Linked DNA regions of Oryctolagus cuniculus. The protein of the gene in region 3 interacts with the protein of the main gene of each other region in a pairwise test. Links are inferred from orthologs where the notes say so. Each region holds a gene or a part of one and is shown on either strand. Other genes may lie near its edges. The genes, in order: SPMIP4, TASOR2 and KLHL40.

What was found.
Region 1: the proteins of KLHL40 (region 3) and SPMIP4 interact in a two-hybrid assay, tested with the Homo sapiens proteins (2 studies listed by BioGRID and IntAct). The two-hybrid records come from large-scale screens. The link is inferred for Oryctolagus cuniculus from reciprocal best matches to the Homo sapiens genes KLHL40 and SPMIP4.
Region 2: the proteins of KLHL40 (region 3) and TASOR2 interact in binary tests that used the Homo sapiens proteins (3 or more experiments, as listed by UniProt). The two-hybrid records come from large-scale screens. The link is inferred for Oryctolagus cuniculus from reciprocal best matches to the Homo sapiens genes KLHL40 and TASOR2.

What each region holds. Positions count from the first base shown.
Region 1 is NC_091447.1:16,946,945-16,950,592, forward strand, and holds part of SPMIP4 (sperm-associated microtubule inner protein 4), read right to left. Parts: intron 1,588-3,648; coding exon 1,413-1,587; intron 1,112-1,412; coding exon 1,020-1,111; intron 1-1,019. UniProt on the Homo sapiens protein: Microtubule inner protein (MIP) part of the dynein-decorated doublet microtubules (DMTs) in flagellum axoneme. May serve to reinforce and thus stabilize the microtubule structure in the sperm flagella.
Region 2 is NC_091444.1:79,647,666-79,651,313, forward strand, and holds part of TASOR2 (protein TASOR 2), read left to right. Parts: coding exon 1-274; intron 275-1,633; coding exon 1,634-2,063; intron 2,064-3,648.
Region 3 is NC_091441.1:105,283,765-105,288,081, reverse strand, and holds the start of KLHL40 (kelch-like protein 40), read left to right. Parts: upstream 1-1,466; 5' UTR 1,467-1,559; coding exon 1,560-2,729; intron 2,730-3,903; coding exon 3,904-4,064; intron 4,065-4,276; coding exon 4,277-4,317. UniProt on the Homo sapiens protein: Substrate-specific adapter of a BCR (BTB-CUL3-RBX1) E3 ubiquitin ligase complex that acts as a key regulator of skeletal muscle development.

The DNA.
Region 1 (3,648 bases), on a different chromosome or scaffold from region 3:
TCACAATAATCATACAGCTGCTTCCTGAGGGGCCATGCCTGTGGGACTCTGGACCGCTGCTGACCTCCCCTGACAGAGTCAGAGGACGTGTAGTTCTCTGAGCCTTAGGGAATGCTTGTCACAGATGAAAAATAAAAAACAATTACAAACACCCAGTAAGTGATAAGGCAAAGTCTACAAGACCGCTTTTGCACTTAGGATTTTGTATCACCTTCTGAAATGCTGAAGCTTGTACAAAATAAATATGTTCAGCTCAATCTAAAAAAATGTTTAAATTGAAAGACTCTTAAAGTTATTTTATGTGTGCCTTTCATACATGTTTGAAAATAATTTTGTTTCTAAAATTTACAGTTGTAGAGGACAAAACTTAGCCCTGAAATAAAATAACACATATGTATACTGTTAGGTCATTTCATTTCATTTGCACAATTCAGCTGACAGATGATACTTTCTGTCCCTGGAGGCCTTGATCAGTTCTTTCAGGCCATTTCTTTCCCATAGCCAAGTGAGAAGTCTCTGTTGCTATCTGCAGAGAATTTATGGGCTTCTGATTGCAATTCAGGCACCCCTCAATTACTGAGACAGTTGTGAGGAAGCCTGTGTCTCAAAAGCAGCAGTAATGCACAAGATGGACAGATAGGAAAAGGTCCCCAGAACTTACTGAGAATCCCATTAAATTACTAGCTAAGGTCTATTCTTTGGTAAATCAGTTTCCTTGTAAGTTATTTTAGCAACTGCACAAGTTGCATGGTAGAAATAGCTACAAGTACCATGGTAGAAAAATCTTTCTCTCTCTCTACATATATATATTTAAAAAATAGCACTATGAAGAGGAAGGGAAACCTTGCTTATTTTTTCCAGGCAATTGACAGATCAGTTTAGAATTAGCTTCTGACATGGGTTGCAAAGTTTCCCTTTGCTAGCTTTAGCGTGGTCACCAGTATTCATGATACAAATAAAAAGTACAGTAAACAGGAGCCCAACCCCTAAGTAACTGAGAGTTGACTGTAACTACTTACAGGCTCTGGGTCAAATCCTATCTGTCCAGTTAACTCTGCTACCTCCTTTTCATGGTAATCATCCAGTTCAAGGGGGTCCATGGGCCCCAGACCTTAATGGAAACATTGTCTTATTATTTTGTCAGAGTAAATGAAAAAAAAAGGGGCTTGAATTACCCTTACCCTTTATAAGAAACTTACCCACTACCTTTGTAAGACTCATAAAAAGCCAATGAAATGAAAACCAACTGTGTCTCCCAGCTGACAATCAACAGAAACTGACCACCCACCTTAATTGATGGTAGTACTTGGACTGGGAAACAGAGAACTATTAGAAGGGGGAAGCGTGTGGCAGCCTTTGCCAGCTATTCCAGTTTTGCTGTAATTTCTACCTGTATTCAGGTGAACTCATACCTGTAAAGTTGTGAGTGTATGAAGTGATCCAGTGGTTCCTCTCAAGATTTCTTTGTATGTTGGCTTCTTTTGCAGGATAAATAGGGTCCCATGAATTTAAAGAAGTGTTAGGAGCGAAGGTTTTAGGAGGTTTTGGGTAGAATACTGGCTTAGTTTTATCAACACATTTAGGAAACTAAAATATGAACAGAAAGATTATTGCTGTTAATGTCCTCTGGTGGAGTAAGAGCTGATTCGTTACGTCAGCAGGAAAGAGGCAGAAGGAAACTCCAGGAAGAGTCAGACACTGCCTTTTCCCTCATTAGTTACAAATATTCTGAATCTGTCCCAGATATAAACACATCCTACTAAGGGAATGCGAAGGTCTTTCTAAAGTCTCTTCCTTAGCAGGGACTCTGACAACGTGCATAGGAGAAGTGCTCTGAATCCTCCACCTTGAGTTTTACTTCAGATACACAGGGCCCCAAGGCGCTCTTTGGGCTCAGTTTAGTTACAATTGTATGCCGCCTCCTATTTTTCCTTTCTTGCCTGAAATGAAACCATTCAGTGGCTTTTATGACTTCATGATGAAGGTGAAGTCACTCAAAGTTGTTTCCATTCTTGAGACACAGCTGTGGAGTTTTATGTGTGTAGGTAAATATGATAAATATGACTGAATTTCATTGCCATCTTTCTGGTTCCTTAAAAGTGCACCTTTTCTTAGATTGATGGAATCCTGGGACTGGATTCAAAGTCAACTGGTCAGGGGATTCTGAGGTCCAAGATCATAGCCCAGAATGGGAGATGGGGAGCATGGGCTCCAGATACATGTACCCTTTTGCCTCATAAATTCCTGGCCACACAGAGAGGCCACAGCCAGAGGAAGGCAAAGTTGGACCATCTCAAGTCCCTAGGCCTATGGATGCTGCTGCTTGTAGCAACCACGAGGGTGGAGAGATCCCCATCCTAACACACTGAGAGCATGTATGGTAAATGACACATGAAGTCCTGTGGGGCAGGTGTTGTGGCACAGCAGGTGAGCTGCTGCTTGGAATGCCTGAATCCTCTGTTGGAGTGCCTGATCTGAGTCCTGGCTACTCTGGACTTCCAATCCAGCTTCTGCTAATGTGTCTCGAAGGTTGTGGATGATGGCCTAAGAACTCGGGTTCCTGCCACCCATGTGGGAGATCCAGATGGAGTTTTTGGCTCTTGGCTTTGGCCTGACTCAGCCCTGTCTGTTGTAGGCATTTGGGGAGTGAACAAGTAAATGAAAAATACTGTTCTCTGGCCTTTCTTCTCTCTGTAACTCTACCTTTCAAATAAATCTTTAACCGAAAATTTTTTTTTTCTAAATCTGTGGCTTACTTATTCAGAGGGTAAAGAAAAGCCTTCTTTGTTCCCTTATCTTTTTCATTATTTATAGAGCCAGCTGACTTGGAAATATGAAGGACTTTTTTTTCCCTTCCAAATACTGTTTTTTTCTTTTTTTTAAAGATTTGTAAAATTTATTTGAAAGGCAGAGTTACAGAGAGGCAGATGCAGAGAGAGAGAGGTCTTCCATCTGTTGGTTCACTACCCAAATGGTGGCAGTGGCTGAAGCTGGGCTGATCTGAGGCCAGGAGCCAGGAGCTTCTTCCAGGTCTCCCACGTGGGCGCAGGGACCCAAGGAGTTGGGCCATCATCTACTGCTTTTCTAGGCCATAGCAGAGAGCTGGATTGGAAGTGGAGCAGCCGGGACTTGAACTGGTGCCCATATGGGATGCTGGCACTGCAGGTGATGGCTTTACTCCCTACACCACTGCACTGGCCCCCAAATATTGTTCTACTAATAGGAGTGGCCTACATATTTATGTACTCTATATGGCCTGTAGATCACATGTTCCCCACTCTTGGGGCTGGAGAGGAGGGAGAAGATTAAGAAGACCTTGGCAGATAAATAACAAGGCATCCTTGCCATGGATCCTGCCCTCAGAAAATGATTTCACAGAAGTGAGAGGCAGCCTGGGACGGGGTTTCTAAAAGCACCCCAGCTAGTTGTGATGTGTAGCTGAGGTTGAGGACCTGCTCCGGCAGGAGGTAAACACAATATAAAAAATGGAGCACTGCAGATAAAGCTGAAGCTCTTTGACCACCTCCTCCAGTTAAGTAGTGGGGAGGACAAGACAGGACCTTATCCTAAAGATTAAAAAATGACAGCAAAGATGAGCCATGTGTTAGTGCTGTCAAGTTCACTATCGATGTTATTTTTTATTTCTTT
Region 2 (3,648 bases), on a different chromosome or scaffold from region 3:
GCCCTGATGCAGGAACCCCAGTGGGAAAAGTCATGCCTTTTCGGCATCAGCAAAACATCTCCCCACTACAAAAGCTTTCTGAGGATCCACTGATAAAGCGCAAGAGCCGATTGATGTCTTCCAATCTTAAAAATGTTTATTACTCTCATAACGTATTTAGCTGTGATGGCTCCTTGAAGGTCACATTCAAATGTGAAGCAGAATATGCATTCAGCTTAGATAGCAAATATACAAATAATCCACTAGAAAAAACTGTTGTAAGAGCATTACATGGGTAAGTATGAGTGAAATATAATGCAAATGATGTAACTTTTCTGTTGAGATTAGTGTACTGAGACAAGAAACCTGTGAGAGACTTTGAGGAAAAAGAAGTGTTAGTGTTATGTTGTGTGTGAAAGTAGTTTGGTAGTGTGAGATAGAGATTATGTTTTACACTTAAGTTCATGAGGAAATATTCAAAACATTGGTCAGAGTAATAGGAACTGAGTGGTTTTATTTAGGGTTGTTCTATTAATCTTCCTTAAGAAGGGATTAAAGCAATAATAATAGGGTAGTTAACAGCCAGGCTTTGCAGTTTAGACCAATCTAGGTTTGAATCTAGGCTCTTCCAGTTTTATCACCTCTGTACTGTGGGCAAGTTATCTGCTTCTGGACAGTGCTTTTCAGTCTTCATTGTGTATGTGTATCATCCAAGGATTTCACTGAACTGCAGATTCTGGTGTAGTCTGTTTGGGATGAGGTCAAGAATCTACATTTCTAACAAATTTCCAGGTGATGTCAATGGAGGATGACAGTCTATGGGCAACACTCTTAAGAGTATGGGTTTCATAATGGTTATATCCTGAGGTGATTACATATATTAGGGTTTTGCACAGTGATTGGCCCATGACTGTTGGCAGTTAGCATTAGCTATATGGAATGACCCAATGGAATTTACAGTTAGATTTCTTCCCTTGCACCTATTCACATATACTTACATTCACATATATACTTAACCTTATAAGAATCATTTCCTTAGCTTTAATCCTGTTTAACTGCAGCCTAACAATGCAGCTTCCCTAAATCATTCCCACTCTATCTGCTTGCTTTAACCATTCAGAGGCAAGAAATGTTTTATATGTCATTTTGTAGTTTTGTGATATTAACTGTAATCTAAAACAGTATATACAATTCTGCTAAATTGCCCAGATATTCTAATTTTTAGACTTTTTCAATGATTAGAAGACAAAAATAAGAAGTATTTTCTATTTGTGTTATAGTAAATTAGCAAGAATTAGGAAAACCAAGGCAATAAGGATTTGGGTAGTTGCTTTGAAAGCATTATTCATATCTTAAGTATATCATGTCCAGCAAAAGTTTGTGTTACAGAAAAGCAAATGCTGGTCTAGGATTTGGGAGATCCATGTTCAGACGATGGTGATACAGGTTTCACGGTCTGAAAGAAGTCACCTACATGTTTTGATTTCAATTCTATTCTCTGTAAATGAGTGGGTTAGAGTTATTTGCAAATTTCATATTCATGTTTAAATTTTAAAATAAAAATGCAAAACTGAAGTTAATAGTAGAGACTTTTATGATAAGCAACCAAAAGAACTATTTTTAGTGATTTTTGTGTGTTTCTTTAAAATCTCAGGCCCTGGAACACTGATTTGCCTGATAATGTGGAGGAAGTGAAGCTTTTACTGCATATGTGGGTAGCTCTGTTTTATAGCAATCAGAACAAAGTCATAAGATCATCCCGAAAAGTGGTAGAACACAGCAACCCAGCAAAATATGTGTCTATAAATAGTACATTAGAATCTTTTGAACTCAGTGAAATTGAGGAGTTCCCCAAAGTGGAAAGATGTTCTGCAGACCCTCTTTTGGAAACAAAAGAAACTTCCAAAGGTTATGCTACTGAAGTATCCTTCCCTGACCATAACTGCTTGCTTCCTTTCATTAAATCACCTCCTGTCAAAGGCTTGGAACTCTGTGTACAGAATGAACAGAAAGAAATTTTTGCAGGAAAGTGTCATCTAGATACTTCAGAAAGCCAGAATTTCATCTATTCGTGCAATAGTGAGGTAAGACTGAATACTGTAAATGCTGGCATTACTTTTGCAGACATTTTCAGTTTTTTGTATATAAAGTCACATTCAAAACAAGGTATTGTTTACTTCAGAAAGGTGAATTCTTTAGGTATACAAGGATTATTGGACCAAAAACTTGATTTTCTTTAAGTGTCACTCAGTTCTCTGCAGGTGGATCTTATCTGTCATCCTGATGGAAATAAACAGTAGGAAAAAATCATAGGTTAAATATTTTGGAAGCTCACCATAATTGTGTTATTAGTTTTATCATTTGGAACAGATTGTTTATTCTCTCTCAACTTATTTTCTAAATTTTTTAAAAAAGATATATTTATTTGAAAGGCAGAGTGACAGGGAGGGAGAAATAGATCTGTATGCTGGTTCACTTCCCAAACTGATGCAACAACAAGGTCTGGATCAGGCTTAAGCCAGGAGCCAGGAACTCTACTGTTTTTAACTGATTTTCAGCCACACCAGATAATCCAGATATTAACTGCAACAAGTCAAAAAGTTGTAACAAAATTCTAAGTAAATGAATTGACAAAATGCCTATCATTTTATGCTTTCAGTATGGATTTATTCTAGAATAAATTAGCATGGATTTAGATAGCACCTATGATGCCTGTCTTAACATTGGGTAAGCAATAATTCTAAACCTGGGGTTACTCATTCCATTTATGAGCCTTAGAGGGCTTGCAAAATGAGCAGGATCATTATCAAAGTTAAGATTTCGGGAGCATACATGCCAGATGGTGTCCTAAGCCCTTTAATAACAGTAACTCAATTCTCAAACCAATGAGGTAAGGACTGTTATTCTCCACATTCTGTAGATAAGCAAACTGTGGCATAGAGAAGCAAGGAAATTGTTGAAAATCATGCAGTAAATTCTCAAGACTCAAATCTAGGCAGCTTAGATGTTTGTCAATGTCAGATTCAGTGTATGTGGGTACATATATAAGGAGTCTTCAAAAATTCATGGAGAGAGCATTTTTTGAAAGAACTATACATGAATTTTAATTGTTTTTGCACCAAAATAAACTTTTCTCATTTTTGAAGTACCTCTGTAAAGATGCATATTTTTGTGTTTATGTATATTGTAGTCATATATGTGCTTTTTCCCCCCGAAGATGGAGTTCAGAAAGTTCATCTGATTGTTTAAAAGGTACATAAAAAACAATTAAGAATTACCACCTTAGCATAAGAAAATGTAATTTAGTCAGGCAAATTTTGATTACTATCCAAATAAATACTTCTTATATATATATATATATTATATGATTTATTTATTTATTTGAAAGAGTTAGAGTGAGCTTCCATCCACCAGTTTACTCCTCAGATGGCTGCTACTGCCACGGTTGGACCAGCCTGAAGCCAGAAGCTTTATCTGGGTCTCCCAATGGATGGCAGGGGTCAAACATTTGAGCCATTTTCTGCTGCTTTTCCCAGGCCATTGGCAGGGAGCTGGATTGGAAGTGGAACAGCTGGGACACTAATCAATGCCTGTATAGGATACTAGTGTTACAGATGGCAGCTGTTTTTTGCAGATGGCATTGCCCCATACACGTAATAGTTTCTTAAA
Region 3 (4,317 bases):
AAAGCAGCAAGAGAGGGAGGGACTCCCGTGGTCTGCAGAGGTGGGCGCGACTGCCTGGAAGCCTGGTTCCATTGCTTGCCAGCTCTGCGACCTGAACAAGTCGCTGAGGCTCTCGGAGCCCAGCCTCCCTCCTGATGGTACTCACTACACATGCTCCAGGCCTGGGCTGGCAGCTGACCACCTGCCCTGCCTGGGCCAGCCCCTGCCCTGTAGGCAAAGAGGGACAGGACCACCGTGGCCCTCTGGGACCTGCTGGTGGTCAGGTGCACGGCACAGTCGGGACCGGCAATGACGCTGCTCAGATCACAAAAGGGGAGGTGACTCAGTGCTGGCCCAGCCCGAGGTCTTCTCTCCTATCTCCCCCCTGCAAGACGGCGGTTATAAACAAGTGACTCAGAGGAATGATGGGGGAGAGTGCCCCTTAACACTCATACCAATGTGCCCGGGCTAAATTTAAACCACAGCTGCAGCCTCCGGCACTTTGGGAACAAGTTAATTTTGGTGGCTGAGGCTGGTGTGTGTGTGTGTGCGCGCATGCTTGGGGGTGGTCAGGAGTCCAGAGTAGGGTGGGCTTTGAGCCAGACCCCTTAGATGGAAGACAAGGTGGAGGGTCCCAGAGGCCAGGCAGGCTCAGACCACGCCTAGTATGGACCAAGAACAATGTGGCCAGGCAGTGAAAGTCTTCAACTATGCAACTCCTAGGGTGTTACTTTTTGAACACTAGCATTCGGAATGTGGCTTCCCTAGAGCGTGAATGCCCTGGGGTCCAGCACCTCCAACAACAGAATCCCTGGAAATGAGCTTTCTAGAACGCCTGAGGCCTTAGCACAGGACACGCCTCTAACACTGTCCTCCTGCATCTCAACCTCAGCAGAGTCTGACTCCTCTTCCTCCTCACTGTGTACGGGGGAAACTGAGGCTGCGCTGAGATAAGCCCTGCCCCAGGAGCCCCTTGTTTACCTAAGGGCTGTCTTGCAAGAAGGGGGGTCTCAGAGGCCAGGCAGAATCAGGAAAACCTCTTCCTATCTTACAGGTGGGCAGCAAGGCCCAAGAGTGTATGCCATGTCTAAGTTCACTGTGCAGGAATGCCATGTATACTGAACACAGGGGTGGCTGGAGCCGGCTGTAACCCCAGGGAGGAAGTCGGGAGGGGGGGGGGCGGCCTGGCAGATAGGTCCACGAGGCACGAAGGAAGGAGACCCCGGAAGAAGTCTCCTGAGACTCCCCCTTCTGGGTCTGGGGGGTCTCCCAGACCCAGACCATCACTAGCCCAAGGAGTCCAGAGGGAGGCCCCCTTTTTGGGGGAAGGCCCAGACACCCCACCCCCATCCCATGAGCCCCGGGGGCTCGTCAACGCTGCCCTGGGAGGGGGCCTCTGCCCAGCTGTCTGCCGTGCGTCATGTGCGGGAGGCCGGGCAGCTCGCCTTACAGGGCCCGGGCCGCCTCTATATATAGCCCGGGAGACAACTGCGCAGTCTGAGCACGCCCCGGGGCAGGAGAGCAGCGCTCTTTTAGAGAGGAGTGCCCCGGCCCGGTTGCGACCCCTTACGCCCCCCACCATGGCGCTGGGCCTGGAACAGGCAGAGGAGCAGCGGCTGTACCAGCAGACGCTCCTGCAGGACGGGCTCAAAGACATGCTGGACCACGGCAAGTTCCTGGACTGCGTGGTGCGTGCCGGCGAGCGCGAGTTCCCGTGCCACCGCCTGGTGCTGGCCGCCTGCAGCCCCTACTTCCGGGCGCGCTTCCTGGCCGAGCCGGAGCGCGCGGGCGAGCTGCGGCTGGAGGAGGTGTCCCCGGACGTGGTGGCCCAGGTGCTGCACTACCTGTACACGTCGGAGATCGCGCTGGACGAGGCGAGCGTGCAGGACCTGTTCGCCGCGGCACACCGCTTCCAGATCCCGTCCATCTTCACCATCTGCGTTTCCTTCCTGCAGAAGCGCTTGTGCCTCGCCAACTGCCTGGCCGTCTTCCGCCTGGGCCTCCTGCTCGACTGCGCACGCCTGGCCGTGGCCGCGCGCGACTTCATCTGCGCGCGCTTCACGCTCGTGGCGCGCGACGCCGACTTCCTGGGGCTCTCGGCCGACGAGCTCATCGCCATCATCTCCAGCGACGGCCTCAACGTGGAGAAGGAAGAGGCGGTGTTCGAGGCGGTGATGCGCTGGGCGGCCAGCGGCGACGCCGAGGCGCAGGCCGAGCGCCAGCGCGCGCTGCCCACCGTCTTCGAGAGCGTGCGCTGCCGCCTGCTGCCGCGCGCCTTCCTGGAGAGCCGCGTGGAGCGCCACCCCCTCGTTCGCGCGCAGCCCGAGCTGCTGCGCAAGGTGCAAATGGTGAAGGACGCGCACGAGGGCCGCCTCACCACGCTGCGCAAGAAGAAGAAGAAGACGGAGAAGGGGAAGGAGGCCGCCGGCGCGAAGGAGGCCGGCAAGGGTGCCGGCGACACCAAGGCGGAGGAGGAGGAGGAGGAAGAGGAGGAACGCGTCCTTCCGGGGATCCTCAATGACACGCTGCGCTTCGGCATGTTCCTGCAAGACCTCATCTTCATGATCAGCGAGGAAGGCGCCGTGGCCTACGACCCGGCAGCCAACGAGTGCTACTGTGCCTCCCTCTCCACCCAGATCCCCAAGAACCACGTCAGCCTGGTGACCAAGGAGAACCAGGTCTTCGTGGCCGGAGGCCTTTTCTACAACGAGGACAACAAGGAGGACCCCATGAGCGCGTACTTCCTGCAGGTGCCTGGCCAGCCTTGGGAGGGACCAGTTAGTGCTGAGCTCTGGGCACTGGGAGAGCCGGGCGGGACGAAACTTTGGGGCCCAGGAGGAGGCTGGGGCCACTTGGGCAAGGTCTCCGGGTCTAGGGTGATGGGATGTTGATAGACAGCCTTTGGCCTGAAGGTTACAGAAGGTTATAGGCAGCTGCCGAAGAGCTGCGTGGCTTTGGTGTGTGTGCATTCCCGGGGGCATGTGAGCCCCTCCTTGGAACATGCTGGAAGCCCTGGCTCTGCCCAAGGGCGTTGGGAGCAGGCATAGTGAGGAGGAAGAGCAAGGTCAGTGTTAGCATGTTGGGGCTAGGACGGGACCTGGGACAGAGCATCCCAGACAAAAGGCCCATCCTGCCCGGTCCCCCCACTGTGCGGCCAAGGCAACTGCGGAACACCCAGGGAAGACCAGCAGAGCAAAGTGCCCTGACCAAGTTGGGGGTGCGACTGTGGGATCTCAGCAGGCAGAGATAGGTGCTGGGCTTGCCGTGTCTGGTGGGCTTGCCTGTCTGGTGGACTCTCTGAAGGGGAAGGTGGAAGTGGTGAGCAAGGACCGGGGGCAGGAACGAGCCTGGCGAACACTGGACTCAGTGAGGCCCGCCCAGCACGAGGGGTGCACGGCAGCGTGGTGCCGGCCTTGCCAGTGGATCAGGGGGGGGGGTGGGGGTGGCTCCGCCAGCAATGGGAGCGCCTTGTTTATTCTCTCTGCCTCTTTGTTAAGTGGGGATATTCTTCTCGCTTGATAGGTTTATTGGAAGGTTAAGCAATGCTTTTACATGCTTATCGGCACAGCCGTCAGCTCTTAGAAAACCACCCCAGAAGGTGAGCCCCCGGTGTCTCCACCAAGGCTGCGGAGGTGCCCAGGGCTGCACCCTGTAGGTTGTCAGGGACATAGTGGAGAGCAGGGGCCAGCAGACCCTGGTGGGACGCTGCAGAGGGGAAGAGGCCAAAGCCAGAGCTGGACCTCCCTCCACAGCGCCCCCTTCAGTCTGGGCCAGGGTGCCCCGTCACTGTGCTTTAATGGTGGGAGAGGTACTCTCTCCAGGGACCACCTCTAGGCTGTGCTGGCCCTACCAGGAGGCAAGGAGCTTGGGTGGCAGGATGGGGTCGGACCAGGGACTGAAGCTGACTGCACGTCTGGCCTGCAGTTTGACCACCTGGACTCAGAATGGCTGGGGATGCCGCCGTTGCCCTCGCCGCGCTGTCTCTTTGGCCTGGGAGAGGCTGTGAATTCCATCTACGTGGTGGGCGGCCGAGAGCTGAAGGATGGCGAGCGTAGCCTGGACTCAGTCTTGTGCTACGACAGGCTGTGAGTGGGGGCCGCCGCTGGGCCCTGGGGGCAGGTTGGGGACCTGGCAGGGGCCAGGAGGTCGTGGACCATGGGTGGGACTGGGAAGGGGTGGGCAGCCGGGAGGGAGGGAGGGATAGTTCTACCCCAAACCTGCATTGCGTATGGGGGTGAATGCAGAGACAGCAAACCACCGAACAAGTGCCTGAGCCTGCCCCCTCCTGCCCCTCCAGGTCATTCAAGTGGGGCGAGTCGGACCCTCTGCCCTACGTGG